2 linked regions of the Sus scrofa genome follow. The protein of the gene in region 2 purifies or fractionates together with the protein of the main gene of each other region. This does not show direct contact. Links are inferred from orthologs where the notes say so. Each region holds a gene or a part of one and is shown on either strand. Other genes may lie near its edges.

The links.
Region 1: the proteins of ITGA4 (region 2) and ITGB1 purify together in Homo sapiens (co-immunoprecipitation; 4 studies listed by BioGRID and IntAct, with this or other methods). This does not show direct contact. The link is inferred for Sus scrofa from reciprocal best matches to the Homo sapiens genes ITGA4 and ITGB1.

What each region holds. Positions count from the first base shown.
Region 1 is NC_010452.4:56,085,435-56,089,261, forward strand, and holds part of ITGB1 (integrin beta-1), read right to left. Parts: intron 3,129-3,827; coding exon 2,896-3,128; intron 982-2,895; coding exon 731-981; 3' UTR 1-730.
Region 2 is NC_010457.5:86,969,543-86,973,369, reverse strand, and holds part of ITGA4 (integrin alpha-4), read right to left. Parts: intron 3,416-3,827; coding exon 3,286-3,415; intron 1,932-3,285; coding exon 1,846-1,931; intron 1,028-1,845; coding exon 965-1,027; intron 873-964; coding exon 735-872; intron 1-734. UniProt on the Homo sapiens protein: Integrins alpha-4/beta-1 (VLA-4) and alpha-4/beta-7 are receptors for fibronectin. They recognize one or more domains within the alternatively spliced CS-1 and CS-5 regions of fibronectin. They are also receptors for VCAM1.

The sequences.
Region 1 (3,827 bases), on a different chromosome or scaffold from region 2:
GGTTATCGGGTTGTAATTTGCAGAGTAAAAATACCCTGAACTACACAGGTCCATGAATTCTCAAATGTAAAAACACACCCACAGTGGAGACCATCCCTAGATCCCCAACTCCAGGCCTTAGAAACCACTGATCTCATCTCTGCCCCTATAGTTGTGCCTCTTCAACACTCATATAAATCGTACAGCAGCCCTTTGAGTCTGGCTGCTTTCCATTCAAGGTTCTTTGTTGAAAAAATAAAGAAAGCAAGAAGAAACCTTCTATTGCTACACATATAACATTATTGAGGATTATATCTTTCATAAGAAAAGTCAGAAGTTCAGATTTAAGATCAAAACTATTACAGAAATAGGAGTTCCCGTGGTGGCGCAGATGAAAAGAATCCAACTAGGAACGATGAGGTTGTGGGTTTGATCCCTGTCCTCACTCGGTGGGTTAAGGATCTGGCGTTGCCGTGAACTGTGTTGTAGGTTGCAGATGCGGCTCGGATCTGGTGTTGCTGTGGCTCTGGCCGGTGGCTACAGCTCCAATTATACCCCCAGCCTGGGAACCTCCACATGTTGCAGGTGTGGCCCTAAAAAAGAAAAAAGACAAAACTATTATAGAAATAAAAATATTAACCATAGTAACCAGAATAAACATTGTTTTGTTTTAATGTGACGTTATTTAGGGTGTTTTCTGGTTTTGGCTAAATGCAAATTTTCTGAGTAAAGTCTTGGGGGAATAAAATATTTAAAGGACTTTAATAATCAGCTTGAGAATTACTAAACATGTCTTAGAAGAGTTATATTCCTTTTTAGATGTCTTCCAACTCACCGTGTCCCATTTGGCATTCATTTTTTCCTTTTCAAATTTGGCAAATTCCCTTCTGTCGTGAATAATCATTAAAAGCTTCCAAATGAGCAGCAGTGCAAGGCCAATGAGAACAATTCCAGCAACCACACCAGCTACAATTGGAATAATGTCTGGACCAGTGGGACACTCTGTAAAATAAGCAGCAGACGATGAGCACACAAGGGGTTGGTATGTGTGAAGTACAGCCCACATTACAGAGAGCTGAAGAGTCTCATAAAAAACACTAAGGAATTAAAATCCAAGATAAGTCAATGGACACTATCCCACAGAATCTATAAAAAAGACACTAAAAGTTCACAGATGAGTTCACAAGACAACAGGAGACATGACCAATAAAGAAAAGTCCTATGTATTTTATAACAGAAACTGATTTCTTTATATCAGAAATTGAAAATGAGAAAACAGTATTTTCTACAATAGCATCAAAATCATGAAATACCAATGTAAAATTCTAACAAAAAATGTGTAAGATTTACATGCTGAAAATTACTAAACACTGATGAAAGAGATCGAAGGCCTGAATAAATGGGGAGAGATTCCATGTTCTATATTAGAAGATTCAATATTGTTAAGATGTCACTTCTCCCCCAATGTGATCTATAAACTCAATGCTATCCCAATCAAAATCCTGGCAGGATGTGTACAGATGTCAAGCAAGTTAATTCTAAAATTCACAAAGGAGGAGGAGAACTAGAAAAGTCTTTTAAAAACACTTTTGGAAAAGAACAAAGTTGGATAACTCACATTACCAAATTTCACAACTGGATTTGAAGCAACAGTAATTTAAATCGTGTTGTATTGACTCTAAGACAGATGCATGGATTAACGGAACAGAATCATGAGTCAGAAACAGGCCCACACATACAAGGTCATCTGATTTTCAACCACAGTAGAGAAGGGTCAATCTTTTCAAGAAATGGTGTAAGAATGACCAGCTATCCATGCACAAAAAAACTGAACATCACCCCATATGCCAAGCAAGATCAGCTCAAATAAACCAGAAACCATAAAACTTTTAGGAGAAAACAAAGGAAAAAATCCTTATGAACTTGAAATACACCAAGAGGTCTTAGTTAAAAAAGCAGAATCTAAAAAAGAAAAACTTGGCAAATGTGATTCGTCAAAATTTAAGCTTCAGATATTCAAAAAAACACTTAAGACAATGAAAAGAAGGATGCATAGACCAGAAGACAATATTTGCAAAATATCTGAAAATGCAAAATACAGACTTTAAAAGTTTGGCTCTTTCTTCCAAAGTTAAATATATGTCCCCAAAATCCATTCTGAATATTTATCCAAGAGAAATTAAAACTTATATTCCCATAAAAACCTGAACACAAATGTAGAAAATTGCAAAGAATATTTAAAAATCATCTGGAAAAACAAGATAAAAAATGTTTCATCTTCTGAGAAGCTGAACAAAGCCATGCTCTATAATATCCTGTGACAAAATAAGTTTCCCAGTGTCCCCTTCTAAATCAAGTATATTTAAATATCATTCATAGGAGTTCCCCATTGTGGCTCAGCAGGTTATGAACCCAACTAGCATCCATGAGGACGAGGGTTCAATCCTTGGCCTCTCTCAGTGGGTTAAGGATCCTGGGTTGCTGTGAGCTATGGTGTAGGTCACAGACACAGCTGGGATCCAGTGTTGCTGTGGCTGTTGGGTAGGCTGGCAACTGCAGCTCCAATTCGACCCCTAGCTTGGGAACCTCCATATGCCACGGGTGCAGCCCTAAAAAATATACATATACATATATCACTCACAGTGACTTGACTCTTACTGAGTCGGCCCCGTGCCGTCCGGCCCTGTGCTGAGAGCTCTGTGTGGACTGCTGATATACTCTTTAATCTCTCTAATCATAAAACTTAAAATTTGCTCTTTCCCTTATTTCTTATGTAGTTAATACTATTTTAGCTTTAAGAGATTAGAAATGTCCCAAATAAACCTAAAATAGTCCAGCTCAAAGCTTTTCCTAGATACAAGGGAAACTGCCAATTGCCCTAAGCAGTAAAAAGACATAAATGAAAATGACTTTTACCTGGAGTCTCTACAACATGAACAGTGGCCTCATTGTTCCCATTCACCGAGTATGTGAAGTAGAACCAGCAATCATCAACGTCCTTCTCCTTACAATGGGACAAGGGATCGACCTGGCCTGGCTGGGGCAATTTGTCCCGATTTTCAACCTTGGTAATGTTGAAATGTGAACATTCCTGGGCACATGTATCTTTCTTTTCTCCTTTATTGAAGGCTCGGCACTGAACACATTCTCTGTTAAAACATACATCATTATATTTCTTATTTAAAATATTTGCTTAAAGATTACTTTTCCTGTGCTAAACTCAAAATAGGAACAAATTAAACCAAGAGCTACGACAGAAGATTTGAATAAATGAAGAAACACACAAATTCTAGTAAAAAACTAAACATAAAGATGCTAATTTCATAAAGAACAAGGTCCACGGAGTTCCCGTTGTGGCTCCCTGGCCCCGCTCGGTGGGTTAAGGACCGGGTACCGCCGTGAGCTGTAGTGTAGATCACAGACATGGCTTGGATCTGGTGCTGTGGCTGTGATGCAGGCTGGCAGCTGCAGCTCTGATGAGACCCCTAGCCAGGGAACTTCCTTATGCCCCAAGTGCGGGACTAAGACAAAAAAAAAAAAAAAAAAAAGAAAAGAACCAGTCCGAGAGTACAGCACAGGAAACTATATCCATTCTCCTGGGATAGACCGTGATGGATGAGAATATAAAAAAAGAATGCATGTATAACTGAGTCACTTTGCTGTACAGCAGAAACTGGCACATTATAAATCAACTATACTGTAATTAAAAAAAAAGTTTAAAGATGCAAATTTCCCAGGTGAAATTATAGATAACGCAAACCAAAATCCTCCAAAAGAAATGAGTACTAAAATAAAACTAGCCCTATCAGATATTAAATATACAATATAAAACCAAAGTAATTTTTTAA
Region 2 (3,827 bases):
ACAAGCCAAGAAGACCCCATTAAGGTCCTATCAAGTCCTTCTTTTGATAGAATACCAAGAAGATAAACTGGCCAAGATAAGGCCAGCAGAACTCTTTAAAGTGTTAACTGGTCAGTTTCTACTCCAAAACACTGTGCATAATTTAAAACTCAACCATAAGCAAGTAAACACATATTTCTACAACTACTATATCTGCTTTGGAATAAACAATGTCAATTTTACATTCACATCAAGAATTAAAATCTGTAAGAACTGTGCAAATAAACATTTTATCAAAATTCTTGCTTCCAATTGTTTCAAATCAAGAAATTAAAAACATTTTATACTTTATCATCTACTTCCAGTAGTGTTTATAACTACCAAATTATATAAGGACACTCACTGTCAAACCAGTAGGACACCCACATTTTTAGGGTTATAGAAAAATCATTCTTTCAAATTATAAATTTGCATCATAATAAAACTGGAAGACACTTCTACTACTTGAGTGAACACAAGCTGTGAATAGAAAAACTTCAGACACCTGATCTCATACTTTTGAGACATTAAAATAGGACAGAGGCCCTTTCCCTACCATGTTCCATTTCATTTTTAGAGCATCAGTACAGTATCACAACTTTAATTTTCATTGGTAAAATAAGCCTAAAAATCTATAGTCTTGCTGGAATAAGAAGAGCATCAGTTGTAATCAAAATCCCATAAATGGCTTCCAGTTTGCAGGCAATCGGACCTACCAGGCCAGAGTTGATGTACACAAACACTCTTCCTTCCTCTCTGATGGTGCTCTGCATGGGGGCGCCCACCAGTAGGTCTGAAAAGCCATCTGCATTGAGGTCCACGGCACAGACAGAAGCTCCAAAATAAGACCCAAGCTGCTCCAAGGCAAACCAGATCCAGTCATTGAGAAAAAAGCAGAGTTACTCACCAACGCCCTCAGTGATAACCAAAGGTAGAGACATATTACCTTTTTACCTTTCATTTCATGTAAGATATTTAGTTCTTTTGCATCAATGCTGAAAATGTATGCCTGCAATAGGGAAAAGCATTAGGAAAGGTTACACTACTATCACATTAAAAGTTTTTCATTCAGTCAAAACATTAATTGTCATAATTGCTCAGGTTTTTTTTATTTTTTAATTTTTTTTTAGCTGCATCCACGGCATGTGGATGTTTCTGGGCCAGGGATGGAACCCACACCACAGCTTTGGCAATGCTAGATCCTTAACCTACTGTGCCGCAGGGGAACTTCCTGCTTAAATATATTTTTAAAAAATCCTTTTCAGAGTGATACAAAAGGCCGAGGGATCCACTTTCACATTAACATGCCTTCCTTGCAAAACCACCTTCTCAGGAACAATCTCACGGATCCATTACAGAGAGCACAGAAAACGTTGTTTGCCTTAATTTTCAAAATAAGGCTCAGAAAAATTTAGTTAACATTCACAACAATGTAATGAAAGTTAAATGAGAAATAATATTTTATTCTTTCTAGTCTTAACACTACTACACCACAAATGTAGCTGCCTTGATTTCTCTTCAGCTATAAAGTTATTAACCAATAAGTGTATTCCTATGATATCTTGAGAAAATTCTATCATCTCAGAAACAATTATTCATTAGAAAGAAGAGCATCATTTGACTTCCATAATTTTCCTTAAAGCTTTTCTGCACAATTTTATCTAAAAGCCATACAACTTTCACTAAGTTTCCTCTAACAGCAGCACATTGCTCATCATTTTCAGCTTGAATGCTTAGAATTTTTGTGGTGCCCTTTAATATCTTATTCTCTCATGTGATCTATTTGAACATTTTTGAAGAAATAAAATACTAAAATGAAATTCTTACTTTACCAATCTGTTCATGTTGAGGGGCTCCTCCAACTACTTCAGTAGTGTACATACTCCGAAAATGACCTGCTCCAACCGAGTATCCTTCAAGAAAATGTAGAAAAGTATGAGAATCATCATTGGCAATGGGTAAAACCCCGATCATAAATCCACTCAGAGTTAAATAAGACTAAATTCAAAATAACTACACTAAACCAGAGATTTAAGAAAATTTAGCATAGCAATATTCAAAACTGGTTATGTATTATATGCCTTAAGCAGTTATTGTGCATCATGAAACTAGTCACATGGCTTATATTTTTCAGTCTTAGAAATTGAAGATAGCACCTTTACATTTGGTTTGTTAGTCTCTGTGGTATCAGGACATTCTAGCTTCTAGGATTACAACAGAAATAATTTAGCATATTTAAAATATAACATTTTGAACTTGAAGTTAAAAAAAAACCCATATTTTTCCTAAACTTCAATTTTTCTTGCCCTGAAACCTTCCCAATTATGATAAAATTGTATGATAACACAACAGGTAAAATATTCTCATTTTATTATGTGGTCAAAGGTATAATACTAAGTTACATTTTTTGTAATCCTTTAAGATATCCTTCAACCATAAACAAGTAAATGTTGACTTGTAAATTAGTTCCCTCTGTATGAAAATGAATTCCTTCTGTTTAAATGGGGGAAAAATCCTGCTTTCTATTATAATTATTCCTGAGTGTAGGCTGTTCACATTTGAAGCACACATCATTTAAACAAATCTGTATTTTTAAAGAAACCTTAGGAAAAGAATTCCTTATACTACAACAAGGGAAATAATGCCAGAGAAAATCTTGGGTTTCTGTAGAAACATAGACTATAAAGTATCCTATCTTAAATAAGTATTCTTTCTTAAATAAGAAGATAGATAAAAATAGTTATGCTCTGGGAAATATTCTAAGAACTTATGAGGCAAAGGTCAATGAGCTGTTTTTAGACACATATTCTTCATAATGTCACCCATTGTCTAGAAAGCCATCCGCAGTCTCATTGACTTTCAGTGGGTCCTTGAAGAAACCACACTTACTCACTCATTCATGATTAAATGAATCAATTCATGTAGAGTGCTTACAGAAGTTCCTAGGAGATGGCAGGCACTCAATAGACACTACCTTTACAATAAAACGTAGACCGTATAAAGATACAGACTTTCAAGTGATTTACGGCAAAGAGTAAACCAAACCAGGAGTTCTTATCTAACTATACATTGATGGTAACAGTTACATATATAAAATATTAAGTTAACTAAAAGTTTCATAGATTACATTCTTAAAGATGCAGTTTTTGAAGTGGCCCTTTAATTCCTATTGGCCATTTTGATCTTTTGAAGGTACGATTTTCCTTCTTTATAATTACCAGTATCTGTAAGGCAGAAACAATTTGAGTTTGTCACTTTTTATAGTACCTAAATAACTTCCAAACTTCACTTGGTTGTATCTGTCTAAAAAAGCCTTGTATTTATTTGTAGTTATATTGTAGACAAAAAGAGAGCCAGTCCAATAAGATGATCCCGGGGCTCCCATCACAATTAAATCCTGTAAGATAAAAAGCAATTTATGATCATTTAAACATTTGATTTCACTATACGAAACCCCCTCCAGATATACACTAAGTACTTAGCGACAAAAATGTATTTTAAAATAAATTTCTGATATGTAAGCATTTTATGAGATTAAAAATATATCAAAAAAAGCCAGAGAAACTAGTTAATGAATTTTCACCTACAAGTAGAGTTTCAGAAAAGGAACATTCACTTCATACTTAACGGTGAACTTTAAAATCAAAGGCAGAACCACTGAACACTAGAGTAAGCTCTGGGGAGAAAGGCAATGTGGTTTCTATTAAAGTAAATTGTATCTGGGTAATTCATTAGTGCTCATTACAGAGATTATCACGTTTTTCCAAAGAGTAAAAAATGGACATAATTTATTTCAATTTGCAAAAAGC